Linked DNA regions of Coturnix japonica. The protein of the gene in region 1 purifies or fractionates together with the protein of each later gene. This does not show direct contact. Links are inferred from orthologs where the notes say so. Each region holds a gene or a part of one and is shown in the gene's direction. Other genes may lie near its edges.

Region 1 (5,782 bases):
GAAAACCACTGGAAAACCCTTCCCAGGGAGATGTTCTGTGTTAAGTAGAGCCCTGTGGAAAAACAAGCTGTTTCTGACCCTGAGAAGATCACTGACCGCAGGAGCCTGCAGATAAAGTTGCTTCACTTCCATTTCTGCTGCAGGGGAATGTGCATGTGGGTGTATGCACCATTAAGAATTATAAGGATGGAGAAATAGGTACCAAGTTTAGATTAGCTTCAAGTTCCAGAGTAACATCTTCAGAGTCTGGATAACTGCATAGACAATTCCATTCCAGCTCTGCTCAATTCTATAAGCTTTTTTTTTTCCCCCAAAGGAATGTGTATTTTCAACTGTGTGGCCTCCATGTGGCAGCACTTGCATAAACATGGAGCACAGCTGCCCTTAACTGTGCAAGTGCATGTGCTGGCTCACAGCACCTTTGCTTTCTTGTGAGGCATTGGGAAGCCCTGTGACTGTCTCATGGAGTGGCTTTGGTATTGTGTTTTGTATGAACCTTCACAGTATCCCAATGGAAAAATATTCTATCTTACAGGTGGGAGGCTGCAGTTATAAATATATAAGAAAACACCAGGTGTTTGACTTATCAGATGGTTTAACAAATGAGCATCCTTCCTTCGCTGATCCTGTTCTCTCTCCAGATGGACTGTAGGTAGGAGCCAGTCATGATCTATTTGGAACCTAGAATGCCAGTTTCCCTGGTGACGCATGGAGTTTGCAGGATGGCTGCAGAAATAGCACACTTCTGTGCTCGGGTTTTTCATAGATTTAAAAAGCTGGAGATTCTTGTTGAGAATTAAATCCCAGCAGCAGGAAAGTACAGCCACATTCAGGGTAGTGCTTCACAGTCTTCAAATAAACAAGCCAGAAGTCTCTTGCAATGATAAAAATAATCATTTTTAGACTCCTGCCAGGCCAAGAAAGAAAGAAGAGAAGCTGCCTTTTGACTGAGAGTTGTTGTTCTTTTTCTCCTTCCCTTTTGTAACCCATCTTCCCTTGTTTCCAGCTGAACATCAACAGGAGCTGGATGGTTTCAGCAGGTTTCTTTCACAACTGCTGGCAGTTGGGAATATTATTGCAAGAGTTCCCTCTGGTGGTCACTAATGGGGAAATGAATAATACTTCCTCTCTAAGAAGCTTTTTTTTTATGCTGGAAAGATTTATTGTTCAGTCACTCTATTATTTTTAACAGCCTTTCTTTAGTTCTCTAGATAATGACTGAGAACCTTCTCCAGATTCCTGTTTCATCATTAACACTCCACTCCTCACTAGTTTACTACCACTGATTCACCCTTTCAGCACAAAAGCTGCAATAAAGGTGGAGCTTTTCTGCTCCAACCTGCATTCCTTCGTTCACATTTTATAGGCAGAGGATGCAGTCCTGAGCGCTGAGTGGAAAAGAACAGAGATGGAGACTTAGAAGAATGAAATTAGATCAGCTTTAATTGTGAAGAATTCACAGTTCATAATGAAAAGCTGGGAAGTATCAAGAGATTCTGCTCACCTATTCAGCAGCCAAAGCCTTGCATGCATTCAGGCCTGGTTTTCCTCCTCTGATTTGACTGTTCCTACATCATATACAGATCTAGATCCTTTGTATCCTTTCTGTATCCTTTATTTCCCTTATAACAGCATTTCTGTCACAGAAATCTTCCCTCTACTGATGATTTCAGGGTGTTTCTGCCCTGTTTACTTCTCATATGTTCACATAATCCATTCCCATCTGGCATGGAAATATCACCTGCACTGATATATATCACTTGGTGGTTCCTGTCAGGTGTTGGCTGGGTGATGTCAGCAATGGCAAAATAACTGACATTAACAACCTGCTATTGGATTTTAGAATCATTAAGATGGGAAAAGACCCCTCAGATCTCCAAGTATGGAATGAAACGTCTGTGGAAGGCAGTTCACTTCTGCCACCATCATTATAGGACGGGAAAATGGCGGCCGGCGGAGGGCCGAGGGAGCCGCTCTGTCTCCCCGTCTCTATGGCCGCCCTGAGCGCGTTGGCGCCGCTTCTGCAGCGGCTCCTGGCGGCGCTCTATCCGCGCTGCCGTCTCTGTGGTGTCTCTGGGAGGTGACGCTCTGCACCGCGGCTGGGCCGTCTCGTTGGCCGGGCGGAGGGCGGGCTCGGGGAGTCATGGCGGCCGTGCGGGGCCTGCGGATTTCGGTGAAGACTGAAGCGACGGCGACAATGGCAGAACCCCGCGGCACTGAGCCTGAACCTATGGAGGTGGAAGAAGGCGAGCTGGAAACCATCCCCGTGAGGCGATCGCTCCGTGAGCTCATCCCGGTGAGGGACGGGCAGGGGGAGCGAAGGAGGGACCGGCACCTGAGGGGGGGCAGGGTACGTAGGGGCGGCCCTAAAGGCACCGGGGGGTTTATGTGAGGGAACGGGGGGTGGAGGGGTCGGGAGGAGGGAAATGGGGGTGGGAAGGGGGAGGGGAGATGAGGGAGGGGGTGGGCAGTGGGGGGAGGTACGGGCTGAGGAGCTGGAGTGTGAATGGGATGCTCAGGCAGTGCGGGCCCTGAGGGTTTTTTTCTTGTTCTCTCATTTTTTGTACTCACTGTTCTTAGATAAGTTCAGCTATGGTCAGGTTGAATGTATGAAAGTGGGTCAGAGTTGATCTCCGCTCCTAAGTAGGCTTTTGTTTGGAAAATGCGTGTGGAAAATGCTTGAGGAACTAATCTCTAATTAGCTGCTTGACCAACGTGCTTCAGCTTCAACCGACCTCCCCTATGAGGACAGGCTGAGGGAGTTGGGTTTGTTCAGCCTGGAGAAGAGAAGGTTGCGGGGTGACCTCACTGCAGCCTTTCAATACCTGAAGGGAACCTATAACCAGGAGGGGAGTAAACTCTTGGAAAGGGCTGACAATAGCAGGACACGGGGAAATGGTTTTAAGTTAAAAGAGGGAAGATTTAGGTTGGATGTCAGGGGGAAGTTCTTCACTAGGAGAGTGGTGAGGCCCTGGAACAGGCTGCCCAGGGAGGTTGTGGATGCCCCGTCCTTGGAGGTGTTCAAGGCCAGGTTGGACGGGGCCCTGGGCAACCTGATCTAGTAAAGGTGTATGTTTGGTGGCCCTGCCAGGCAGGGGGTTGGAACTACATGATCCTTGAGGTCCCTTCCAACCCGGGTCATTCTGTGAATATGTGGCCTAAGAGACAGCACCCAACCGTATGGACTTCCTTGTGCTCCATCAGACACCTCCAGACAGCAGTGGTTTGGTTGTTGTTTTGTTTTGTTTTTTTCCAGTTGAAAAACGTTTATTTTGCTGTTCTCCGTTTAATTCTATTCCTGTTTTAAATATCTTGTAACTTTAAGGGAAGTTTGTTACTAAGAAAAGCTGTTGGGCTCGGTGTGTGACTGTTTTCTAACCGAGCCTGACCTACTTTTTAGTAAAAAGGCCTTTAGCCAAAATAATTATTGGAGCACAAGGGTAAGCAGCATATTTATCCTTAGACATAGCAAGGCACGTTGCTCATGTCACAAACCTTCCCTAGGAGATGGTTCTGAGGGTTCCAGAATGAAGCAGTTGTGAAACATGCAGACAGGACACAGCTGGGTCACTACTCCAGGGTTCGTGTTGTTCACTACAGGCTTAGGTTTCAGTGGTCTCCATTGGTGGAAATGAGTTTTATGTTTGTTCGTCAGTGCTGTCAATCTTCCTCTGGGTCTGTAGTCATGTATCAAACCAGGGATAATTTGTATTGCTTCTGCCCTGTTGCTGAGACAAAGTAAAAATGTGAGCAATTGAACAATTAATAATACAGCAGTTATTGCAGAAGCACACGTTTCTCATAGCAGAGGAATCTGGGTTCATTTGATGTGCTTTAACTCTCACTGATGTCAGTGAGGTTAAGTGCTCATATACCTGACTCTGTATGGATGTGTAGCTTGAAGTAAGGATGGATTTCTCATAGGCCAGATTTGTTTTAGCCTAGTGATTACGTTGCAGTCAGCATTCATTGAGTTTTCATCACTGTTTTGCTTTGTTTCAGGACACTAGTAGGAGATACGAAAACAAAGCTGGAAGTTTCATTACTGGAATAGATGTAACATCCAAGGTAATTTCTGTCCTGTGGTTCTTTGAAGTGTTTTAATTATTGCGGCAGGAAAAGAGGAAACACTTCATTTCTTTCCTAAGAGTCACAGAAGCTTCCTATTATGAAAACACAATAACTAGACAATTCTCCTTCATGTTGGTTGCAAACAACATCTGGGTGGGTTCTTGTGATTTCTAAGTAGCAAAATTTGTGTCCAAAACCTGAAAATGTGTACAAAGTCTGTACATTTGTTAGGAAGGAAAAATAAATCTTACTGTTCCATCATAGAAACTGGTCATGGGTTCAGGATATTTTATTTTCTACGCATTTTGATCCTCATTACGTTGCCAGACTTGCATTAGAAGTACTAAATAGCACAGTAACATGTCAGTGAGTTCTTTTAGTGTTCTGAAAGATACAGATCTCTTCAGAAATAAGAGAAATATTAACATAGCTTGTTGCTGCTTGGTCAGTTGTATTTTAATATCCAGTCTTATGATGTCAGTTGCTGGGAAGGCTGTGCTGTTCCTGTTTTGACTGGATCGTTTCACATTGTGCAGGAAGCGATTGAGAAAAAGGAACAAAGAGCAAAGCGCTTCCATTTTCGAGCTGAAGTGAATCTTGCCCAAAGGAATGTAGCTCTGGATCGAGACATGATGAAGAAAGGTATGATTTTATCCAGCAATTAAGAAGGAAAGGTCTCTTTGTTTGCTTCCTCACAGTTCCTTTACTTAATTTATATTGTTTTATCTCCTAGTGGCACCTAATGTGTGTGTGTCCAAGATCTGTCTTTGGGACCGATGCTGCCTTAAGTGTATTTAACATCCTTGAAAAGGCCTTAGGCACTGTTTGTATGCGAGTGTAGGACTCTGTGTCCTGTGCACAGAAAGATCAGATTCCATGAGTGATGGCACATGTGCTGTAAGATGGCAAGCTGGATGTGCTGGAGTAGAAGCAGATAAGCTGAGAGATGTGCACACACAACAGATAGGCATTTTTGGCATCCAGTTAGTTCCCAAGGCCTTTGTCCAGCTGGCAGCTTGGACCAGCTGAGCTGAGGCCTGTAAAATCTCTCCATGAGATTTGCACAAAACTTGTACTATGTCCTGGTCATGGGCCTCATTAGTATTATGCTCTTTGGTACGTAGTGGAAGAACTTTAGTAGCATTTTAAAGAAAAAAAGAGAAAAAAACCTGTGTAAGGCAGTTTGATGTTTTTCAGTCCCTTCACCTTTCTCTCTCTTTTTAATTCTCAGTTAACATTTTACATTGTGGAATAACTCAAATTCTGGTGTTGTAGAATGGTGAACATCATTCTTTTACACCTTTAACTTATTTTGAATGTTTGCTTTAGAAATCCATATGTTATGAACGTAAAAACTTGCTTTGTAGAAATGAGTGTCAGTTTTCTCTCTCTTCCTCTTTTATAGCAATTCCTAAAGTGAGACTGGACACAATCTACATTTGTGGGGTGGATGAAATGAGTACTCAGGACATCTTTGCCTATTTCAAAGAGTATCCTCCTGCTCACATTGAGTGGTTAGATGATACTTCATGTAAGTCAATGGAATCTTGTTTGTCATTCTTTATATCAGTGTAGCTGTACCTTGGATGTCTTTGTGGCTTTGTCTATCTGTTTCCGTTTCATTAACCTTAGCCAAATGAGACTTATTAAGAATTAATAGTGTGTGTTGAAAATCAAACCCACTGTCTGAATGAGTATTTAGAAAGAAAAT
Region 2 (5,949 bases), on another chromosome or scaffold:
AAGTAGCCACCCCTGTGAAGCGCAGTGCTGTGAGCGGTGGCAGCAGTGCTGGGTATGTGGGGCTGTGCTGGGCCCTGCGTGGGTGCACGATGGGGTGGGGGCACCTTCACAGCATGGGGCTGGATCAGTCTGCAGCCTATTCAGCCCTGTCTCTTGCTCAAGGGCCCCAGGGCCTGTGTGTGCCTGCTTGGGTGCTGTGTGCTGCCCTGGCTGGGGTTGCACCCTGGGGCTGGGCCTTTGCCTGCTGCAGGCAAATATGGGGGCAGCAGGACAGGGATGTGAACAGCCATGGGCAACCAAAAGCACCATCCCTGTCCCACCAGGACAGTTGGACTGCAGGGCTGAGGCTGTGTCAGTGCTGATATGAGTTCCTGTAGATGTGCAAACCTGGAGGCTGAGTCTCAGCAGTGGCAGTGCTGGTGTTGCTGGGGGTCAGTGTGTGGCTTCCCCTGACCTCAGCCCAGAGCATCTCCCACCCCAGGGTAAAATCCTTCCTCAGCTTGGCTTACCCTGACCTGTACAACACCCCCCAGCTTCAGATTTGTCTCCTGTATCACTCAGAGAACTGAAGACATGGCAGGGAGGGGTAGGGGATTCATCCTCAGCCATGTGGAAGACTTTCCCACTGCAGCAGCTCTGCTCACAGGCACTGTGCTCAGAGCTGGGCTGCTCCACGCACTGGAAGATCAATTTCAATGGATTCCTTCTCCCTGCACTGTTTTTTTTTCACCTTAAGCTCAGCAGTGGGGCCCCAAGCTGTGCTCCATCCCCCAGTGCCTGTGGCACTACCCAAACTCCCACCCATTCCAGAGGGCACACAGCTCTGGGTGGGCACTGCTGCTCAGGGCACCCCTGTGTGCCCCAGATCCTGGTGGGCTCCCCCCAACCCCAAAGGCTTCCCTCCCCTTAAGGACAGACAACATCTTTCCATTCCACGTGCATTTATTGTCACTATAGTCACCGTGCCACCTCAGGCCCCCCCACACTCTGTGGAGCCCAAGGACACGGTTACAGCCACACTGCACTGCAGAGCACCGGGGACTCCCGATAGCAGCCGACAGCTCCGTAGCTTGGGGTCCACATCCATCACACACGGCACCTGTGGGGAAAGTATCACAGAGATTCCTGGGTGGGAACTTTGGAGCAGGGCTGCCCGCGGAGCCGGGCAGGTGGGTGTTCCTGGTATCAGGGCATTGCTGGGATCTGGGCGTTGCTGGGATCAGGGCATTGCTGGGATCAGGGCATTGCTGGGATCAGGGCATTGCTGGGATCTGGGCATTGCTGGGATCAGGGCATTGCTGGAATCAGGGCATTGCTGGAATCAGGGCATTCCTGGTACCAGCCCGTTCCTGGAGCGGAGCATCCCGGTACTCACCGCGGTGCGGAGCGGAGCAGCGGCACCTCTGCTGTCGGAGCGGCGGCTGTAGGGCAGGCGGCGGAGACCGGAGAGCAGCCCCGAGGCTCTGCCCACCGGGTAGGAGAGCGGAGCGGCCGCCTGCCGGTACCAGGGCGCGGCGGGGCGGCACAGCAGCATCACGGCTACAGCCAGAGTCAGGCAGCGGGCGGCTCGCATCGTGCCGGCGGGGGCGCAGCGCTGCGGAACGGCCGCTCCGGGTCTTTATGGCCGCGGCCGCCCCCGCCGCGCAGCACGAGGGAAAGCGCCGCTCCCCGCCCACGGAACCGGGACCGGAGCGGCGGGAGGAGGCGGGGAGGATCATTCCTTGAACTTCCACTCCTGGCGGCACATGGGGCAGTGCTGCTGGACCTGCTGCGAGTGCAGCCACTTGAGGATGCAGTGCATGTGGAAACAGTGCGAGCACTGCCCCCACACCAGCGGGCAGTCGTCCCCGGGCACTTTGCCTGCGGCGTGGACACAAAGTCAGGAAGGGCCGGGTCGCACCGGACCGGGTACCATACCGGGTACAGTACCGGGTACGGGACCGGGTACCGGACCGGGTACGGGACCGGGTACCATACCGAGTACCATACCGGGTACCGGACCGGGTACCATACCGGGTACCATACCGAGTACCATACCCGGTACCGGACCGGGTACCGTGCCGGGCCCCGCCGCACTCACAGTCGGGGCAGCAGCCGTTGAAGGCCATGCGGCAGATCCCGCAGTTCTCGTCGTTCGCCACCCACAGCCACGAGGCGACTCCGCTCCAGCTCCGCACCTTCACCCTCATCGCCGCCGGAAGTGCCGCTCTCCGGTCCGCGCCGCCCCGCCGGAAGTACCGCCCGCCGCCCCCACGAGGCCCCGCCAATCTGAACGCGCGCCTCCGCCCGCCGGTCCCGCCTCTTCCGCTTCCGGCGTCGGCGCAGCGCGGCCGGAAGCGCAGGCCCCGGAGCGGAGCCGCCATCATGGCCGACAAGATGGACATGTCCCTGGACGATATCATTAAGCTCAACCGAAGCCAACGCGGCGGCGGTCGGGGCGGCGGCCGGGGAGGCCGGGGCCGAGGCGGCGTCACCCGCGGGGGCGGGCCCGGTCGGGGCGGCGTGGGAGCCGGGCGAGCGGGCGGCGGCCCCGTGAGGAACAGGCCGGTGATGGCCCGGGGCGGCGGCAGGAATCGGCCCGCGCCGTACAGCCGGGTACGGGACGGGGGCGGGGGCGGAGCCCGGTCGGCGGGGCCCGGAGGGAGGGGGCCGGTGTGCGGGGCGGGGGGCGGCGGTTCGTGGACGGGGCGGGGGCGGTGGGACGGGCGGCCCTTTGTCCGTTGCCGGCGGTCGAGCCGTCCCGGCGGGACCCGGCGGCGCTCAGCGAAACGTCCGTGTCGTTCCAGCCGAAGCAGCTCCCCGAGAAGTGGCAGCACGATCTGTTCGACAGCGGCTTCGGGGCCGGCGCCGGGGTGGAGACCGGCGGGAAGCTGCTCGTCTCCAACTTGGACTTCGGCGTCTCAGATGCGGATATCCAGGTACGGGCTCGGCGCTGTTCCCGGGGGGTTTCATTCATTCCATCGGTGCTGGGTGCTGGGGGTGGCCATAGAGCATTGCTGGCCCTGCTCCCATTGGAAGGGCCCTTCACACGGTGCCTGGCCCTTTGCTTCACGCACTGCTGGGGCTCTGAGCTGAGCAGTTGGAGTGGCTGGATTCAGAAGAGTCCCAGTCTTTATGGAGCTGTAGGTAATCACATATGAAATATCTCTACCACGATGCTGTGGGGGGGATGTTGCCTTCGCTCAGTCCTGCTGTGATTGCAGAGCTTAGCACAGGCTGTGTGAGCTTTTAAGGTCTGTGTAATTCCAGACGTTCAGTAGCTCTATATATACATCTATTGGCGCTGTTTTCATAGTACCTGTTTATGTACTTTTTGTTAAAGTTTTGTTCAGTCTCAAGGTGTTCTTATAGAAGCACCAGTGATATTGAGAAGTCTGGTCTGTGAGGGGGTACCTGCTCGCTCATGTTGTCATTTCCACAATTACCACATGTATCTTATGACAGATAAATGTTCTAGCTGAGTTACCAGCTGCAGCTCAATCCCTTGTTCCAGCTGTGCCCTGGGTGCAGGCTGTTTGCAGTCACTGTGCCTGTGACACAGCAGTCACAGCTGTGGGGCTGCTCTTACTTGTGGGCAACAAGTTGTGCAGAAACATCTGCAGATCCAAGGAGCATCCAATCTGAAGGGTTTTCCTGACTTAGTCACATTGCAAAGAGCTTTGGATGGTTTCTGGTCCTTGCATCTCCTCTAGAAAAAAATAACTAAATCACTTCTATGTTTTCTTCTGTTAATTCATTCCGGTTCAACCTGTCTGCATCAGGAGTATTGGAAGTGAGCTTTTTTAGGTCACCTAGTTATTGAGCGATGCACTTAAAACCACTGTTTTTTCCTCAAGTGAGTTTAGTTTCAGTTGATATACATTTCCTGTTTGCTGTAATCAGGCCCAAACGTGTAAAAGTGAATCTGTAAAGTTATCTCAATGTAAGGAATTAATGTGTTTTGTGTGGCAGTTGAATGTTTCCTTTTCACAGTTGGCTTGAACTGCAGGAGCAGACAAACATCTGTGTATATTATATGTAGCAGCAAAGCTGACTTAATGGGTTTGTACCTCTTTGTTACTGCCCATCCCGTAATTTTCCACTAAGCTGCACTGATTGTTTTCTTTGTTTCTGTGCTGATTGTGTCATTAATATGGTTCTGCTCAGCTCAGTGCTGAGGAATGAGGGGCTTGGTGGGAGCCTCGTTCACGTTGCTCTTGTAGGAGTATGTGTGGTGCTGTGGCTCCAGCTTCTCTGCAGGACAGGGATGTGATGGAGCACCTCTCCTCCCATGTGGTGCTGTCTTCCAGAAAGCTTGTTGGGTGCTGTATGTTCATGTTTAGTAAATGGACACAGTAGAGAAACTCACTGACAGGCTTGCATAAAGTGCAGCTGGCTTAAGAAGTGAAAATATTTATATGCTCCTTTCAAATGCTTGGATAGGAATTATAGAGATGGCTGGAATAGTGTTTGGGCTCTGCTGCAGGTGATATGGAAGGCAGCCTGTGGTGTCTGCTTTGGACACCTGACAATTCTGTGTGCTTCAAACATTTGAAGAGTGGGGTGTAGGTATAAACTTGCAAAGTAGTGAGATGTCCCCAGATGTACATCTTAGATGTAGCCTCTGTGAAACAAAATGGGTGGCTCCACTGTTGCAGCCTTCCATCGCTCGTGATGGTAAACGATGCTCTTCAGTAGAAGATTTCCTGCTTTCAGTTTATACAGACTGGCAATGTCCCTGGGAAGAGGAGCAGGTCAGCATACCTTGGGGCCACTTTGTTGGCTGTATACAAGCACCCTTCAAGTGGTGGATATGAAATCCTGTTTGTTTCTGCCACCTGTGGCTGCTTTCTGGAAGTCTTTAGTGGCCTGTGTTCCTTCTTTCACTGGTGCTATTTGCGTGGTGTCATGGAATGTACATGATATTGCTGAAAGCAGGAGCTGCCTGCACCTTCTCTGGGCTGCTCGGTGTTTGCAGAGCTGACTGAAGCATATTCACTTCTCCCTCTGTTTCTCAGGAACTCTTTGCGGAATTTGGGACCTTGAAGAAGGCAGCAGTGCACTACGACAGATCCGGACGCAGTCTAGGAACAGCAGATGTGCATTTTGAAAGGAAAGCAGATGCTCTGAAAGCTATGAAGCAGTACAATGGAGTCCCCTTGGATGGTGAGTCTCTGTGGCTGTCGTGTGCTTCTCTGCACGGCTGATGGCATCTGTGTGCCTGCCACACTCACAGGGTAACTGGCTGCTTTTCCTGCAGGGCGCCCCATGAACATTCAGCTGGTTACATCACAGATAGATACACAGAGGAGACCAGCACAGAGGTGAGAAGCCGCGGGAGTCGCTGTGCCAGTCAGCACGGGGAGTGAACTGGCCTGTGTAGGAAGCATGGAATCCTCCTCGTGTCCTGCAACCTTCTGAGTGCCTGTTGGGGTTAACCAGAATGCACTATAACAGTTGCTTTTTAAAAATCACAGTGTAAACAGAGGTGGAATGACCAGAAACCGTGGTGGTACAGGAGGATTTGGTGGTGGAGGTACCAGGCGAGGTAGTCGTGGTGGGAGCAGAGGGAGAGGCAGAGGGGCTGGAAGAACTTCCAAACAGCAGCTCTCTGCAGAAGAACTAGATGCACAGCTGGATGCTTACAATGCCAGGGTAAGTGCTGCTCACATGATGGTCACGGGTACCTACAGCGTCCTTTTGATAAACACTGGCAGCTGGCTGGAAAGAGAAATTGTTTTTCAGGTCATTTGACTTAAATAGCCTCCCTCTAAAGCTGAGCATTGCCCTGTTCCTTCAGCTGCCTTAGCTCTCCACATCTACTGTTACTCATGAGTAATAAATAGCCCCTTTTCCAACTTCTCCTGGCTTGTTGAAGCCTGTGTCAACCAGAATTGGCAGTAATCAAGATGTGTGATGAACGAAAGCTATGAACCAAAGCCCAAAGGGATAATAGGCTGGAAAAATGAA
Region 3 (6,107 bases), on another chromosome or scaffold:
TGGTCACTCTGGTCATTCATTTGCCCCACATCCCATTGATGATGTCTGAGGATTCTTGTAAATGGGGGAAACTCAAGATGGCTGTCTAAATCTTAGAAAGGCAAACTTGCTTTTAGTCCTTGAATGCTTTATATTGCTGTGTATGCAAGCAATATGTGCAATGATTATTCATAACAAAGGCAAGTTTATTTAAGAATACACTGCCTTTGGATTCTAGTCAGAATCAAGATACCAGAAGAAAAAGGAGCAGCAGAACAGAGAAACAATGGAGAGTGTTTTCTGATCTGGAACTGAGAATAAAGAGTCAGGACTGACAGTGTCAGAAATACCTTCTTTGACTGTATAACAGTCTACAAGCTCCAAGTTTAGGAATTTAGGTTTTCTCTTACATTATTATCATTAGACACAGACACTTCCATTTTAACATTCCTGATATCTGGGGTACACAACGCAAATGAGTGCGTGGACCATGTTGATAAGAGTTTCACTCACCAAATGCAGGGTTGACCTTCAAGCCTTCATATTTTCTCAGTATGCTTATACTCTTAGCTTTCACAATTAACAAATGTGAGGCAACTACAGTGTTTACACTACCACTTGCTCACATGTGCCTGAGGTAAGGGCCCACAAACGTCAGTAGCAGCCACACTAATCAGCTCCTGCAAGCTGCATCTACTGGTAAGCAGAGGCAATTTTTGCAGATTTTGGCTTCCTGAGTTTCCAGCAGCATCCAGCCAACCAGTCATCTGGAGTCTTCTCTGAACACATCCCAGATAGGAGTGAAAGGAGCACAAACTGTAGCACTACTGCCTCAGAGTTCCTCAGACACCATCATGGCCACTGCCTCAGACCTCTCATGTGCAGGATCGAGGGCTGATGATGTACCAAAGATACCTGAGGGGTTTTGCCAGCAAAGTACCATAAAGTCAAATACAGTGTTCTATGGAGTGTATGCTACATAAGTGTAATGTTGTAGGGCCATCCTGCAGGACACCCAGCCATCAGGCAATCCAAGGAAAGATGAGCTGTGAGGTCAGGAGTACCTGTTCTCCAAACTGAATTCTTCCTTTCAGCAGCAGTGGACCCAACTTACGCTGCAAGCCTCTCAGCTGCCTTGTCAGTGATACTGTCACTGCTCCGCTTACAAAACTTGCAAAGCCCGTATTTCCTCCATATTTTCAAACTCTAAATACTAATATCTGAGATTCTAATAATGGACTTTGATAGAGCGCTTGCTAGGAATGTATCTACTAGTGTATGTACTAGTATGTGTATGTACTAGAAGACAAAGACAAATCTGTGGCTGGTGGATACTAAGTCTAGTTACAAAAAACAAAACCCTAAGTCTTAGAAGATCTATTTGGCAGTCACTTATGTGAGAACGCTTCTCTTTTCAATTGCCCAGCTAAACAGAAACAGGCTGTACAAGATAATGTTTATTAGGAATCTTGTCTAAATAAAGTTGTGCCTTGTCACACCAATCCATGAAGAAAGTTATTCTAGAGGAAATGAACTGTGCAGACATTTTCTTTCTTCTGTTTTTTTGCCCGTTTACCTGTAGTATTTGTTTAGAAAATCATGAACATATATATGTATATTTCTAAGATTAGATTAACACTTATTTTCTTGTAACTGTGTATTTACTGCATAATATACCATAGCTTTGAAAGCCTTATAGTTGCAATTAAGCTTAATAGCAACCTACTGCTATCCAGCTGTTACCATAGAGCCCAACTGAGGCATTTTCTTTAATGAATTTGGGAAAAAACATTCAGATTTCTTCTTTATTCAGTCAGGAGGGACAAGTAGGTGGCTCAAGACTGCGGCGTGACATACAGTGGCTTTATCGTTATTTTTCACTTATTTATTTCACATATTTATTCCAGAAATGTGGAACTGAGGACGGCAATGCTTTGAAAACACTATTACACCGAAGGAAAATGGCAGCTTGGAAACGCCCACGTCAACACAACGGGGCGTTACGAGGAACGGCGCATGCGCCACAGTGCCGTTAACGGGCCCGGCCTGTAACGTCATACCCAGGGGCGGGGCGTTGCTGCGCATGCGCCGTTGCTATGCGCCCCGCCTGCTAAGGCACAGAGCGGCCGTCCCGTCGTGCCTCGCGGGCCGCAGCGTCCCCTCTGACCTGCGCCCGTCGCTCGCGCATCCGGGCTTCTCGGCGCCACACAGGGAAGATGGCGACCATGCTCCCTGCCGAGTGGATAAAGAACTGGGAGAAAGGGGGCAGGAACGAGTTGTGAGTGCGGGGGTTCGGCTCGGGAGGGTGGCGAGGCGCCGTGGGGGCTCCGGCCTGCGGGAGGGAGCGGGGCTTTGGGCCGGGGGGCGAGGAGGTGGGAGCGGGTGGGAGGACGCAGCGCGGGGCCGCGTCTCGGCGATGGGAGACGAAGCGGAGCGAGGGCGGGGGCCGGGCCGGGCCTCCTACGTGCGGCTGGGCCTGCTGTGCTGGGCCTGCTCTGCCGCTGCCGCCGGGCTCAACCTGTAGCCGGGCCTAGCTCGGCTGGCCACGGGCCCTGAGCGCCCTCTCCTGCTCTGGGCCGGGCCGCGGATGTGGGGCGTCTTATAATATTCTTTTCTCACCGGCCCCGCGATGCCGATCTCGTTGGTGGAGGGTTTAACCGTGGATTCGATCTTTCTGCCCGTTCCCAGGTGCCTGGTGCTGTGCCCCTTTAGTTGTGGCTTGGTAGGGGCAGCCGTTGCTAGTTATCATAGGGAAGAATTTCTGAGCACCAAAGGGGCTGGATGTAGCTTCCCACATCAATCCAGATGTGCTGTGGGCTTGTTTTTCAAGGCCTTCTATCTGTGTCTATAGCAGTTTCTGGTCTGGCTGTTTGCTCACACGTCATTCACCAGGTTGTCAGTTTTCTGTCACTGCATCAGTGTCAACAAGGGCGACCAATTTACTGTGTTCTCTTAAATGATCTTATCTTGGCTTTTCTATTTGCTTCAGCTCTTTGTTATAACCGAAAAAGCTCTGTAGCTTCAAATATAGCTATTTAGGGGATTGCTTTATGGGAAACACTTGGTGGTATTTTTGCTCCTTTTGTTATTTTCTTTTGTTCATGTATTTTAAAAGATTCTGCAGTTAGAGTGATGATTGCCCCCATGTTTGAGGTAGAGAATGAACATGGAGACTCTGCATACAACTCTGTGTTCCCCAGACCTTCTGCTTTGTAACGAAGGGGCCCTCTGATAGCTGTGTCACTGCTGTGCTTGAATTGTTCTGGAGTTAACGTGTTTCAATACATGTGATACAAGGCCAAAGGAAGTCTGTTCAGTTCCTGAATTTTAAACAATAAAAACATAAGTGTTCAGGAGCCCCCACGTAGTGCTGAGGTTTGCACTGACTTCATAGCAATGACTGCACACCAACAGCTGGACAATCCTTAGGGCAGTTATATTAGTGACATTCCTGTACTGTGGCCCTTATGCCAAATGAAATGCACCGTTTCTGATGTGGTGTTAACAGTAGCTTGGGAGAAAAGCCATCACTTCTAAAGGAAGTGTGACTACAGCTGGATAAGAGTTGCCAGCTTTATGAATGTGAAATATGCATGGCATTATTTTCTAGGCACAAGTAAATGCATCTGTAGCCACTATTCTAGACAACTTTGTAAGCATATTTTCTGGGGGGGGGGGGCTATTTTTAAATGCTAAAGTAAAAGGTAAGTAGATGTAGTGATGCTTCTTGCTTTACTGACTTGGTAACTTAAAACAAAGCCCCAGAAATATAAATTAAATAGAAATATTTTTTTTACTGGAATATCATACAGGACCTGATTAGATCAGCCTGGGTCGGTGTTTTGGCAGCACACTGAAAAAAGTCAATTATTTGCCTTTAGTGTTTTGGCTTGCTTTGCAGTTACTAATGAATGCTAAAGGTGATTGCTGGTGTGTTTTCTTACATAGACCTGAATAGTGTCGTAGTGGTCTGTCTATGATGTAAAACGTACAGGATTTAAAATATGACTGTAGTATTTTGGATGTCCTGTTATTAAAAAAGAGAAAAAAATTACTTGTAAAGAAAACAAAAAGCAGAGTTGTTTCTAAGGAAATGCAGTAATAAAATCAGTTTTTGACTGACTATCTTCTATGTTTTCTTTATCTCCCATGGAAGATAGTGAATTTTATTTTATTGATGTGATCACTTTGTCCTCGTAGTTTGGCAGTAATGGCCCAAACCCTAAAGATGAGGGGTTTGTGTGTGGCCTGGAATGTCCCAGGGTAAGGTGAATGGGTATGAATAGGGAAGGTGGCATTCTGGAGCTTCCGTTATAGAGACTGTGCACCCCTTGGAAACTGTTGAGCTCCTCCAATTTAATGAACCCAGCTGCCAATGTGTAATAATATCTAATATGGATACATGAACGTAGATCGTGCGCTAGTTTTGAAGATTTTTAGTTAGTGTTTTCTTTTTGTTCAGGTCCTTTTCTGTCTAAATACACATCATTTAAATTGTATTTGTTTTGCTACTGCAAGATGCTGTGTGGAGGTTGAGTTGGCATGTGTGCCAATCGGTCTAGAATCCTATTTGTATATACACATACTGTCCTTTTGTATTGAACTAGTGTTGTTTTCTATAGTCCCTTCCACAGCAAGATGCTGCAGTATGGCTATGGCATGTAGGAACATTGATTAAGCGCTTGTCATTGCATGTGTATTATGGAATTGCTTTTGCTTGTTTTTTTTGTGTGTGTGACAGATAAAACAGACTGAAGATCCTTCAAGGGATAAGCAGGACTTCAGTGGTGTTCTTGGATGGCCATTTATACTATGTGTTAAACTACAGGATGAACTGAGGAAGCTCACTGTTCAGTGAATTGAGATTTTGAGACACGATCTTTCTGACCCTCCCACAGTGTTTGTTATTTTATGTGCACGAGGTGTGTCATAGTGCTGAGTAGCAATTAGAGGGCTGAGAGTCAGGAAAGCAGCCTTCAGCTGTAGTTTGGCCATCACGACTGCAAAATGCAGTTGTGTGTTTCAGCTCAACGGAAGAGCCACCTGAATTAGTTAAGTTATGCATATACCTCAATATTTGCAGTCACGTGTGCTTTATGGTAACTGCCATATGCTATGTGTGAGAGTGTAATTGTGTATGTAGGATGTTGTGTGTGAATTGGGAGGCTTGGGTTTGACTCCTGGCTCTGTTGTGCAAAGTAGTTGTGTTGAGCACTACAGAACTTTGGAGCTGTTATTTAAACAAACATAGCCCTGTCTTCATCCGAAACAACTTTTTTTAATATTTCAGCACTGGTTCTTTTTGTGGTTGCTCTGTAATGTTTACTTCCTGGCTTATTCTATACTCAATTTGCACATCAGATTTATCACATAATTTATACTCCTGTGGAATGTAGTAGAGTAGGGAAGTTCCTCATCCTAAACTCGCAGAAATGAGCTTAGTCATAAACCTTTTACGTTTGGACTATTGAACTGAAAGTTGCACCTGGTAAGTTTCCATTTTCTGGGCTTTAAGTGGGAAAATATTGTAGTTATTTTTCCTTGGTTGGTTGATCATGCAGGTATTGATGCCTGGTATTCTTGTGTAAGAATGTTTTGATTTTTATCTTCTGTACTCAGCTAAGACCAGATGAACTGATCTCATGGCTTTTTGGTACTGGTTGAGAGGGCTTCTGCCTTGTCTTCCTTATTGTTCCCTATACACTGGTGTCTGACTTCTTGATGAGCTGATCATTCTGTAGAATGAGAGGTTTCACCGTACTGGTATTTGTTTACTGAGCTTATAAACAATTCCATTAGAGATTTCTTTTTACCATGGCATCATTTTTTGCTCAGGTTGCATGTTTCTTATGACTGTATCCTGTTCATGTATAAAGCTAACAGTGTTCCAGTTGTGTTTAAAGGGTGCGTATGCCTTGCAGTTGCATAATATTATTGTTTGATTGTTGGTACAGTTGTTTAGTGCTGCTGGAGAGGTAATAATATGTGCAGGATACAAATAGGAAGAGCAATGGATTGCTACCAAATACTTATTTATCATTTATTTTTCCATAATAGTAATGGCACATACTTGTCTTGTTAGACAACATTAAAGAACTGGTCAAGTACAAGACTGTAGACTTAGTATC
Region 4 (5,307 bases), on another chromosome or scaffold:
TTGCTGCCCACTTGTTAGCGCCTTATGGGGCTCTGCCTTATGCATCCATGGAGCAAAAGCTTCTTGGGGCAGGGCTGCAGCCTGACTTTCTTTCTGTAGGCTTAATAAATACCATATGGGCGTGTGCTTTTGCGGTTGTAGCCCACCAAGCTCCAGCCTTGGTAGCTTGCACTGTAACCTTTACTGTCTTTTCTGCACAGGAGTGGGATCCATGGCTTTGTTTTCATGTCTCTTCCATAGATAAGAAGCTTGCTGTGGCCATCGAAGGCAGTGTAGAGGAAGCCAAAGCCTTGTACAAGCCACCTGAGGACTCGCAGGGTGAGTAGGGTGGTGTTGCTGCAGCCATAGGGGTTGTGTTGTGGGACATATGAAGATGCAGCTGATCCCCCTCGTCCCTGCATCATTCCTGAGAGGTGCTCATGGCCCCTTGTCTGTTACTGTGACTCCTAGTACTGAGGGAATGTTCTTGAGCAGGGTGTAATGTCCCCGTTTGCCTGCATCCTGCTTTGTTCCTACTCTAGGAATTAGGATAACTTTTGGGAGAGCTGTGGTCTCAGAGGGAGGGCTTGGTGGCCCTGATGGTTTTGGGGAAACTCCCATACCATGGCACTTGCTTACACTTCTCTCTTTGCATAGATGATGAGAGTGATTCTGACGTGGAGGAGGAGCAGACCACGGTAAGGAATAGTATTCTCCCCTTCTGGGGCCTCTCTCAGTACATTGTAGTGTGGGCAAATCCATTTGCACCTGTGGGATGGAAGGTGCTGAGGCTTCTGAGCCTGAACAGGTCTGTGGACTCATTTTTGGACACCGAGAGTGTTTGGAAGTGTGTTGGCATTAAATCTGTCTGTGTCCAAAGAAGAAGAACTGGCCTCAGCTGGGGACTCTGTGTTCACTGGGAGGAAAGGGGCTGCATTTCCAATTTCTGTCCTGAACACAGGAGAGCTGGTGTACAAACCTGCCCTGCTCACATCCCATCCGCAGCAGTGTCCGCCCTGCAGCTCTCCTGCTGGAGCTGCTCCACTTTGTATAAATAGTCTCCAGCTGGGAAGGTTGGAGACCAGCAGAGAGAGACTGGGACTCAGAGTGGTGGGCAGGGAAGGGAAGGGCAGTGAAAGGAGGAGAGGCTGAGGGCTCCCAAGGAGTGCTGGTACAGGGCTGACAGCTCTGTTTTGCTCCCCCCAGAAGCGACGCAGGCCCACTCTGGGTGTGCAGCTGGATGACAAACGCAAGGAGATGCTGAAGCGGCACCCACTGTCTGTCACCATTGACCTGAAGTGCAAAGGTAAGCTGGTGCTGGTGGCCCTGTGAACAGAAGGGTGTGAGAGCAGGTCAAGGAGCATCGTGGCCACAGCTCAGTCCTTGGAGTGTGAAGGGTCCTGACAGATCTGCAGAGAGCAGCGTGTGGAGGATGTTTCCTTGTCCCCACTGCCCAGGTTACAGTGCACTGGTTACGTTGCCTCTCTTCCCTGTTCCTTGCTGTTCTATCAGGGGCAGCTGAAGAACGTGTGTCCCCTCCTACAAGAAACTGAGTACCAAGTGCTCCAAACCAGAGCATAGAGCACTATTTCTCTTTCCTTGCTGGCACAGATGAGAATGTTCTTCACCTGACCTTCTACTACTTGATGAACCTCAACATAATGACGGTGAAGACCAGGGTGACCACTGCTGCTGAGCTGACAACTGCCATCAGTGCTGGGTGAGGAAAGCCCTGAGCTGTGTGTGGGTCCTGTGCTGAGCCCAGGGCTGGTCGCAGTCACCCTGCCTTGATGTCCTGCCCAGCTCTGCTCAGTGTCTCATAAGCACAGTAATGTGGCACTAGAGGTGGTGTGTGGTGGCAATGTCCCTCTGCTGAGCTGTAGGCTAACAGCCCTCCATGCCCTGCAAGTCCCTCCCCAGCTCTGTGAGTGTGGTGGGTGAGGTTTTATCCTCAGTCTCTCTCCTCCTTACCTGGGGCATTGTAGATATTTTTGTGCAGAGTTGTAGTGTCCAGGCACTGTCCTGGTCCTCCTTTAATGGTAAGGAGGCCCTAAAGAGCCCCTGCACTTCTGTGTGAGGAGTGCTTTCACCTTGCAGATCTTCCCTGCCCTGATGGTGTCCTCTCTGTCAGCAGCGTGGCCTTTCTGGGAGCCCTGCCAAGCTGCTGCAGTTGCAAGCATCCTCCTCCTCTTCATCTGCTACATCCCTCATGGCAAAACCAGGGACAGGGCAGGCTGGGAACCTGTTAGGGAGGGCTGGAGGGGAACCTCTCCTCCTTGTTGCTTTTGCTTTTGGTTGCCATCTTGCAGCCAAACTGCTTTCCTCCCTCCTGCAGCCATTACCTGGCAGCTCCTTTCACCTGCTTGATCCACAGGTCACCTTGCACCGATGCAAGTGATGCAGCTGCCTCTCTGTGGGCTCCCCGGGGATGGCTTGAACCTGATCTATGTGAGAACTGGCTGCAATGGCAGCTTTGGGAGCCTGCCCATGGGGAGGCTGGCCTGGAATTACCTGTAAGCAGGTGCTGCCTCCCAGGCTGTTCCCATGAGGCTTCCCAGTCCTCCTGGGTTCTTTTTCCCTGTGGGAACCCAAACCCATTTATGACAGGCAGATATGTGTCCTTCCTGCTGAGATGAATCATGTAGAGGAGTCCCCTTAGCCCCAATTCATTCCTGGGTGAGACCCTTGCAGGCAGGGTCCTTGCTTAGGGGACACTGTGGTAGCAGGGATGTCGCTCACCGAGTCTCCTGTGACCCAGTCTAGATCCTCTACAGCCCTTTGTGCTTTCTAGGGCTTCTGGGTATGGTCAGATGTGAAGAAATGTATTCTTTTTTAGCAGGGGAATTTTACTTTAGCTTGTTGACTGGCAAACAACAAGCTGGTAGTTTTAGAGTTCATGCAGCGTGCCTTTAAGCAGTTCCTGGGAACTCAGAGAGATGGTATGCTATGATTTTCAGTTTCTTTACAACCAGGGAAGAGACCTATTTTCAAGAGCAGAGCTATGGGAAATCCACTGTGGTCATGAAACCCAGCTTGGGGGTCATCCATCCCCAGTCTCTGGGCTTGTAGCCTGTTAGCAAGTGCCCCAAAAAGATGTGAGGCCTGAACTGCTGCATGATTCCTTTCTCCTGCCAGCGACTTGCTCTCTCCAGACTCCCTCCTGAGCTGCCTGTACCCAGGAGACCATGGGAAGAAAACCCCCAACCCAGCCAACCAATTCCAGTTCGACAAAGTGGGGTGAGTGGACCACGTGCAGCCAGTGTCTTTCTAGTTGGCATTGGCTCAGGGTGGATGCAGATGATGCCTGCTCATTCACGGAGGAGAAAGTGCTCTGGTTTGTGACCTTTCCTCTTGGTTCCTGCAGCATCCTGACCTTGAGTGACTATGTGACAGAGCTGGGACATCCCTATGTGTGGGTGCAGAAGCTGGGCGGCCTGCATTTTCCCAAGGATCAGCCTCAGGCACGTCTCACTCCTTCCCTTCCCTCCCCTCCCCACCAGGATGCTGGGCTGTGCTGGCAGGGCTCTGAGGGGGCTTTGGGGACACTTGTGTCCCATCCTGTACCCCTAAGACTCCAGAACTCCAGCTGGCACCCCCCGCTCCAAACCATGGAGCACCCTTGGCTCCCTGGCAGGGTGCTGACGTTCCCTCCTGCCCACAGCATACAGTCACTGCAGACAACTCTCTGAGTGCAAGCCACATGGAGATGACCATGAAGCTGCTGCGGACGAGGCTGCAGTCCCGCCTGGCTCTCAACAAGCAGTTTGCTTCACTTGGTGAGTGCCAGGGTGTGCAGTGGCTGGATCTTCTTGCACAGGAATACTGCCTGACCTGTGTCATATTGAAGGGCCATTGTGGGTCTGCACTGCCACTGTCCCTCTACTCTGTGGCGTCAGGGCTCTGAGGTTTCCGTGTTTGGGGTAAGAGGGTGGCTGTGCCCCTCTCAATGTCCAGCACCCCTTTGGGACCAGCCATCTTGGCTCTGGGAGTTTATTCAGGCTGTGGTGATAGGAAAATGCCATGCCCAAGCATGAGAAGCACCTCTGGAGCAGACCAGGCATGTGCTGTGAGGTTGTGAGTGCCAGCAGAATTGCATTTGAAGCTGCTGCTGCTTTCTGGGTGCCTGGTTAAGATGTCAGAAGGATAAAAGAATGTCCCCAGGTCCCAGTGCTGTTGTCACCTGTGGGGCAGGCAGAGAGCTCACCCCCAGCCTGCCCTGCTCAGCCTTGTGCTTGGTTCCAGAGCATGGCGTGGTGCCCGTGTCCAGTGAGTGCCAGCATCTCTTCCCTACCAAGGTTGTCTCACGCCTGGTGAAGTGGGCTGCCATCCCCTTCGAAGATTACACGGTAGGTGCTGGGTGTGAGGCTGTATCCCCTCCAGCTCCTGTGCTGTGCCTCACAGCCGGCAGCTGCTCACTCCCTGTCATCTCCCCTTGCAGGAACTGCCCTACACTAAAGACGTGGTGGAGGCTGGGCTGGCCGAAGACACTCATCTCTATTACATGGCACTGATAGAGAGGGGAACAGGTCAGTGTGTTTCCTTCCCCCGGCAATGGCAAATAGTTGGCAGCTGCCTGAATCCTCCACACCAGGGAGGCTCTATGGGCTGTGGTTGATGTTTCTTCCTTGCCTTGCTCAGCCAAGCTCCAGGCAGCTGTGGTCCTGAATCCTGGTTACTCTGCACTGCCGCCCATCTTCAGCCTCTGCCTGAACTGGAAAGGAGAGCGAACAGGCAGCAACGATGACAACATTCGGGTAAGCACTTGGGGGGTGTTCCCAGTGCTGCTGTACCTTTGGGAAGGGTTAGAATGGTGGCTGGGGTGAACAGAAAACCAAGCTTGTAACACATTGATCTCTTTGTATCTGCCAGGCAATGGAGAGTGAAGTCAATGTGTGCTACAAGGAGCTGTGGGGGCCCAAACCGGGCTACCAGCTCCTCACCAACCAGCTGCAGCGCCTCTGCATGGTGCTTGATGTCTACCTGGAGACAGAGCCCCACGACACCACTGTGGAGGGGCCCAAGGAGTTCCCCCAGGAGAAAATGTGCCTGCGCCTGGTCAGGTGAGAGCCTGGGGCTGTGCTGTCCTCCCCCCCAGGGATTGGAGGGGGCTGAGGGTGCTGGTAGGGACCCGGCTGGCATTTCTGTCCATGCATGTGGTGACAGAAAAGCACCTTTGAGCCTTTCCTTGTGCTGCCTGTGAGGGTCAGCCCTGCACAGTCGAGCTGCACTCTGGGACCTGTCCTTGTCTGTGAGTGTGCTGAGCTTACCAGCATGCTGGGCCTGCTGGGATGGAAGCAGACCCTCATGGGCCAACCTGTCCTTTTTCCC
Region 5 (5,778 bases), on another chromosome or scaffold:
CACAGAATGCAAGAGCTGGTGAAGGATAAATAAGAGCGAGTCAAGCCCGTTCCAGAGACCTACATCAAACACTGAATTAATGCAGAAAACATCCTTGGCTACAGCCTAGCGCAACATGCACCCCATACATGTATTACAAAGGTTGTTTTATACTTACAAGATGAGGAACTCTGCTTGGAAGTGGAGCGAACTGAAAGAAGACTCCAAAGACATAATGAAAACTCAATGAGTATAGAAATCCAGCAAGCTGGAACTGGCTTCTTAGGCAAAACACCTCGTGGCAAGACAGAAGAGCAAAGACAGCAGGATTTAACATCAATATGTAGCCTTAGTGAGATTCTTCATGATGTGTTTAGCAAGTTCCAGTTCCCATTTTGAAACAGGAAAGTTGATGAACACTGATGATACCTGAAAGCTCTGTCTTAGAATGAAAAAATAACAGCTAAATTCTTACCATAAGACCCAGGACAGAGCATTTATGAGAATGCTGTAATCAGTGACACCAATGAAGACAAGAAAGGCGTAAAAGTCATTAAAAATTATTAACTAATTATACGGACTGTTGTGTTCTAAATTAATTACTCCAGGAATTTGTCACTGTGGAGAGCTGAATAAGGCTATCTGACCAACACTGGAATGATAAACAATAAGTGGGAAAATATTAGATTAAATGGCAGAAAATGACACAGACGTATTCTTGCATTATTAAACAAATAACTGACAGTTCGCACCCTCAACACCCAACAGTTCTGATCAACTTCTCATCACAGTAGAAAAGGAAAGAGCTAAGAGAATGGCATGAATAGTATTAAGTGTTGATAAGACCAGGATGCTCCAAGATGCTGAAGATAGGAGATCTAAGTAGGGTAGGAAAGCGCCACTTTTCACATCAAATTATATCACTCACAAATCACGCAGAGATACATAAAAATATCAAGAAAGCAGCATATTTACCCAGTTTTTCTACACTGGAAATACCTTCAATCCAGATGGAGCTTTAATGACCACTCTCTGTAGCCCTTCCCAATAGTGCCTCGCAAAGAACCTACCAGGTGCCACTTCACAAGTCAAAGTGCTGGCTTGCAACAATCTAGTAATATGTAAACCCCTGTTATACATCTCTATCCAGAACAAAAGAACCCGTCGTCACTCAGGGCTCTAAAACCAGGAAGATGGAGATGACACTACATGCTGACACGGTTCTTTCTTCCTTACACCCATTTTCTCTTAATACACAGCAACAAGCAGAATGAGTCTGCATGTACTTAGTGTCCAACCAAGAGGAGAAGGTAATGCCAAGATGTCAGGGCCTGGACATGCATCTCACATATCATTATTGTACCAATGTATCTTAAAGTAACATTATCAACTTTAGCATGGCACAGGTGTCAACATTTTGGTCCAAAAGGCGAAAACCCAACACTTGATCTCATCCAACAGCTTAATACCTCTTTTCTCCCGGCACACCCCAGCACCGGTTCACTTTTCCATATAGGAACAACCCGCTCTGGTTACCACCCACAGCACAGCACCCCAGGAAACACCTCAGGAACAACATTCCACATCCTTCCCTTGCCCCAATGCTCAGCCTCTTGTGTCAAGCCACACACCAGGGACTCATCCCAAGCGTGACCCGAGGCGCTCAGCCCATCTCCCCTCAGCCCACAGCGCCGGCCCCACGCCTCGATGCCAGGCGTCGAAGGGCGAGGGCCATGTGCCGAGGGCATGGCGGGGCGGCCCAGGAGGGGGGCGGCGGGGTCGTGGGCGCGGTGGTTGGGAGGTGGAGCCTGGCTGCGGGCGCGGGGACCTCCGCTTCCCTCCCCCGTCGGCCTCTCACCTGGCGGGGCCGCCCCTCGCCAGGGGGCCGGTTCCGCGCGGGGTGCGGGCCTCCCGGCCGGCCCTCCCCGCCGATGGGCCGCGCGTTCGCCGCCAGCCGGCTCAGGCCCCAGCCGCCGCCGCCGCCTCCCCCTCCATGGCCGCCGCTCTCTCCGGCTGCATTGTGGGAAGCTGACCTCACTCGCTGCTGCCGCCGCCCCGCCGGCTCCGCCGCTCGCCGCCATGGGGGCCGTGACCGACGGTGAGACCTCCTCCCTCCTGCCCTCCCTCTCGCTGTCCCCGCTCCGGGTTTCTCACCCCGGGGAAGCCACGCACCCCTGCGCGGCGGCCTCACCCCGCATGGAGCGCTTCCAGGCCGCTCCGCTGCGCTCAGTGCCGGGGCCTGGGGCTCCATCGGGCCTCTCGGGCCCAGCCTCCCTGCCGATCCCAGGCCCCGCGTATTGAACGCGTTTTATTTCACCCACATTCTGCTGGGTGAGCTCCTGCCGTGCCACACGCTTCCAGCACGGAGCGCTAAACACGAGTTGTTTTTTTTCCCACAGATGAAGTTATCCGCAAACGGCTTCTCATTGATGGAGACGGAGCTGGGGACGACAGGCGGATCAATCTGCTGGTGAAGAGTTTCATCAAGTGGTGTAACTCTGGATCTCAGGAGGAAGGGTATTTGTTGGCTGTTTTTAAGTCTTGAAACCTCATTGCTTTGCAGTTGAGCATAAAACTGAGCATCTGTTTAGACAAAGAAAGTAAACTGTGTTAAAATGCATCCATTTGGGCTGGATGTGGCTCTGGGCTCCGGTGGTTGGCAACCTTGCACACAGGAGGGGGTTGAAACTAGATGATCATTACAGTCCTATTCATAGCCATTCTATGATCTCTGCTATGTTCAGCCCTGTGTGGTTCTCTGGACAAAGCCCAGGAGCTGTGGCAAGAAACATGCACTGGAGATGGGTCAAAAATTACAGAGCAAACCATCCTGAAATCTAACAGCGAAGGCTCTGGAGGTTGGCACGTTGCTTCACGATTCAGCAGTCCCATTATTACAGCAGGATCACGACTTGAGTGTTCCATTTGGTGGCTCTGCATTTGTTCTGTTAGGTGGGGGCTGTGCTGCTTCTGCTGTACTGCCCTGAAAAGAAAGAAGAAAACAAACAGGCCAAAGAACTAAAGGTTAAGCAACATGTTGTTCTGCAGTAGGGTCTGTGCCGATGCTGGAGTGCAGGAGGGCACTCTGTGATGATGCTGTGCACAGAGAAGCACTGGAGTGTTAAAATATTAATCGTGGTGGGCACAGAGCTGGCTCTAGTTGGGAAGAGTATCATCCCTGGAGCAATCTGCCCATGCTGTAATGCTGCTTTATACCTTTATGATGATAAAATTAATCGGTGCAGCATTCATTTTTAACTGTACTTTTTGCAGTTGTGCACTGAATCTTTGAAGTCCTTTATTGCTTTAGTAATTGCTGTTTTAACTGTTCCGTACATTACCTGAGGCTTCATTTTCCTCGTGATATAAAAACAGGCAGGTATTTTCATGCTGCTGAGGAATAAATGTCTTGTTTGCTTTCAGTTACAGTCAGTACCAACGAATGCTGAGTACTTTATCGCAGTGTGAATTTTCAATGGGAAAAACTCTTCTGGTGTATGACATGAACCTGAGAGAGATGGAAAATTATGAAAAGATCTACAAGGATATAGGTAAAAAATGAGAAAAAAAATATTCTATGCTTATTTGAATTTCTCTTTCATAAAGAAACTCAAGTCAGTTCTGATAAACAAAATGTAAACATGAGATGGGTGACAGAAAAACTATTTTAATACCACTCATACTTGCCCTCGTGTTTTGTCAGTGTGTAAAATGTGTATAAGTAAAATATGTTTTTAGTCTGTCAAGGCATAGATGGTTTTGAAGCCCGTGGAGATAGCAGGCAGTATAAAATACAAAGTGCTGTTTGTGATGATTTAGCTGAATGGATTGATGGCGTTTGTTGTTTGATTTGTGTCTTTCTGTTAAAGAAAATAGTATAGCTGCAGCACACGAGAAGATTTCTGAATGCAAGAAACAAATCCTGCAAGCAAAAAGAATTAGAAAGAATCGCCAGGGTAAGCAGCATTATCTACACTGGGTGGTTTTATTAATGTGTTATCTTTTAAAATACATTGTACTGGAAAACAGATGACATATTTCTTGAAAACTCAGAAGAAAATGCTCTCCATCGATGCTACATAGAGCATTATCTGGTAGGTTCCACACAGACTGCTGAAAGTTTGGTTGTTGAGGTTAAGGCAGTAAATCTTAGTGATGTAACATGAGGAGAACTTAGAGAGTAGCTCAGAGGTGTTCTCAAGCCAAAGAAACCCTCCCAAGCATCCTTTGACAATTCAGTTGGCTTAAGAACTAAAGCACATTAGTAGCAGCAAGACAAAAGAGTTAAATAAGCTTACAACCAACACTGAAAGTTATATAAGTATATTCCTTCAGCTCTTTAGAAGGAAAAGTAGTACCTAATACAAGAACAGTTGTACCAGTTGCATACTCATTTTACATGGCCTTGCAAAATACCTCTAAACCAGGTATTACAGACATCTGTTCCTTATCCTTAAAAGACATACTGATATTTTTAGTTGAAATTTAAAACATTGCCCTGTAAGTCTTATCAAAATTTAGCAATTGGGAAGGTAAAATTTTGCTTCCTAAAAAGTGAAATGTAAAAATAGTTGAAAAGAAAGAAAGAAAGACCAGCTGTAACAGGTGAAAGGTTTTAAAACCTTTAAAAACACATGCACATATGATTTGTGGATAATGTTAGACTCTATTATTAGAGACTGAAAAAAGCCTTAAGCAGTAGGAAAGTAGAGTACTTAAATCTTCACAAGCACGGATCTGAAGTGTTTGCTTTTGAAGATGTTCTGCCCACGTTTTCCATCTGAATGTGGTGGTTAGTGTACATAGAATAGTACCTTCAAGAACTGTCCACCTTAACTGTCTATATAACCATCATGTTGTTCTTTGTGTACAAAACAAAGTGGAAGAAAGCTGTTTCTCTTGCAGCATTTTATTTTTCTCTAAAAATCTGAAATGTCTGTGTAGTATCCTATCCACAGATTTTTCTATATATACATTATATATATATATTAGATTATATATAAAAGCAACACTAGTCATCTACTTGGATATGTTCTATTATATTATTATACATTTTTGCTTGACTGTTCCTTTGTTATATGCAAGATATTATGTAGAGATTGGAAAACATTAAAACACTTTTTTAAGAAGTAGAAAGAGCTGATGGGAGATTTTGTATTCTTATATCGCTACCTTCAGAACTTATACTAGTAATACTTAAATTTCTTTCAGAATACGATGCATTGGCCAAAGTCATACAGCACCATCCAGACAGACACGAAACACTGAAGTAAGTATAAGACTGCATTAGATTATGATAAACCAGCAAATTAAAAGTCAGCAGATTTGACATTTTCTTGGTTTCACTATTTGACCTTTTCCTCCCTGTTTCATAGTTTCTTTTGATGCAAGAAAAACTTGTGTTTCATTTTAGAATTGTGCCCTTATCAGCTTTCTTCCTTTGATCTCTATCTGTATGGGTTCAGAAGCATTACTAATAATTTTGTATTTGAAGTTTTTCCATTGTTAAGGTGAATGGATGAACTCAGATGTAAATGCACGACAGTTTATCAGTGACAAGTTGATCAGGAAAGAGAGATAGCGCGGCAGTGCTGTCAAGTGCAGCAGCAAGTAATCATGCAGAATGTGTATCACACAGGCAAGTAAGATAGAATAAGAATTAGAGAAAGCAAGAGAAAGCTTGTGGAGTTGTTCCGTGTTTTCCTTCTAGTAGTTGTTCCTGCATGCCTGGTTATAAATTACTACCTTGTGTACCACAATATAACTTGCCCTGACACGTAGGTAAGACCTACCTGTTGT

What was found.
Region 2: the proteins of NCBP3 (region 1) and ALYREF purify together in Homo sapiens (affinity purification with mass spectrometry; 4 studies listed by BioGRID and IntAct, with this or other methods). This does not show direct contact. The link is inferred for Coturnix japonica from reciprocal best matches to the Homo sapiens genes NCBP3 and ALYREF.
Region 3: the proteins of NCBP3 (region 1) and THOC2 purify together in Homo sapiens (co-immunoprecipitation; 3 studies listed by BioGRID and IntAct, with this or other methods). This does not show direct contact. The link is inferred for Coturnix japonica from reciprocal best matches to the Homo sapiens genes NCBP3 and THOC2.
Region 4: the proteins of NCBP3 (region 1) and THOC5 purify together in Homo sapiens (co-immunoprecipitation; 3 studies listed by BioGRID and IntAct, with this or other methods). This does not show direct contact. The link is inferred for Coturnix japonica from reciprocal best matches to the Homo sapiens genes NCBP3 and THOC5.
Region 5: the proteins of NCBP3 (region 1) and THOC7 purify together in Homo sapiens (co-immunoprecipitation; 3 studies listed by BioGRID and IntAct, with this or other methods). This does not show direct contact. The link is inferred for Coturnix japonica from reciprocal best matches to the Homo sapiens genes NCBP3 and THOC7.

The regions. Positions count from the first base shown.
Region 1 is NC_029534.1:3,968,037-3,973,818, reverse strand, and holds the start of NCBP3 (nuclear cap-binding protein subunit 3), read left to right. Parts: upstream 1-2,050; 5' UTR 2,051-2,143; coding exon 2,144-2,350; intron 2,351-4,002; coding exon 4,003-4,068; intron 4,069-4,607; coding exon 4,608-4,713; intron 4,714-5,476; coding exon 5,477-5,602; intron 5,603-5,782. UniProt on the Homo sapiens protein: Associates with NCBP1/CBP80 to form an alternative cap-binding complex (CBC) which plays a key role in mRNA export. NCBP3 serves as adapter protein linking the capped RNAs (m7GpppG-capped RNA) to NCBP1/CBP80.
Region 2 is NC_029533.1:4,444,535-4,450,483, forward strand, and holds the start of ALYREF (THO complex subunit 4), read left to right. Parts: upstream 1-2,274; 5' UTR 2,275-2,364; coding exon 2,365-2,595; intron 2,596-2,786; coding exon 2,787-2,918; intron 2,919-4,997; coding exon 4,998-5,145; intron 5,146-5,239; coding exon 5,240-5,303; intron 5,304-5,456; coding exon 5,457-5,634; intron 5,635-5,949. Other genes in the region: NPB (neuropeptide B), read right to left, coding at 971-1,099, 1,376-1,573; ANAPC11 (anaphase-promoting complex subunit 11), read right to left, coding at 1,715-1,860, 2,081-2,189. UniProt on the Homo sapiens protein: Functions as an mRNA export adapter; component of the transcription/export (TREX) complex which is thought to couple mRNA transcription, processing and nuclear export, and specifically associates with spliced mRNA and not with unspliced pre-mRNA.
Region 3 is NC_029519.1:14,648,942-14,655,048, forward strand, and holds the start of THOC2 (THO complex subunit 2), read left to right. Parts: upstream 1-2,087; 5' UTR 2,088-2,195; coding exon 2,196-2,257; intron 2,258-6,107. UniProt on the Homo sapiens protein: Component of the THO subcomplex of the TREX complex which is thought to couple mRNA transcription, processing and nuclear export, and which specifically associates with spliced mRNA and not with unspliced pre-mRNA.
Region 4 is NC_029530.1:9,925,486-9,930,792, forward strand, and holds part of THOC5 (THO complex subunit 5 homolog), read left to right. Parts: intron 1-240; coding exon 241-318; intron 319-636; coding exon 637-677; intron 678-1,185; coding exon 1,186-1,285; intron 1,286-1,590; coding exon 1,591-1,699; intron 1,700-3,114; coding exon 3,115-3,216; intron 3,217-3,343; coding exon 3,344-3,440; intron 3,441-3,640; coding exon 3,641-3,755; intron 3,756-4,221; coding exon 4,222-4,325; intron 4,326-4,417; coding exon 4,418-4,505; intron 4,506-4,617; coding exon 4,618-4,733; intron 4,734-4,848; coding exon 4,849-5,039; intron 5,040-5,307. UniProt on the Homo sapiens protein: Component of the THO subcomplex of the TREX complex which is thought to couple mRNA transcription, processing and nuclear export, and which specifically associates with spliced mRNA and not with unspliced pre-mRNA.
Region 5 is NC_029527.1:10,989,629-10,995,406, reverse strand, and holds the start of THOC7 (THO complex subunit 7 homolog), read left to right. Parts: upstream 1-1,967; 5' UTR 1,968-2,058; coding exon 2,059-2,077; intron 2,078-2,378; coding exon 2,379-2,496; intron 2,497-3,402; coding exon 3,403-3,530; intron 3,531-3,848; coding exon 3,849-3,935; intron 3,936-5,190; coding exon 5,191-5,248; intron 5,249-5,778. UniProt on the Homo sapiens protein: Component of the THO subcomplex of the TREX complex which is thought to couple mRNA transcription, processing and nuclear export, and which specifically associates with spliced mRNA and not with unspliced pre-mRNA.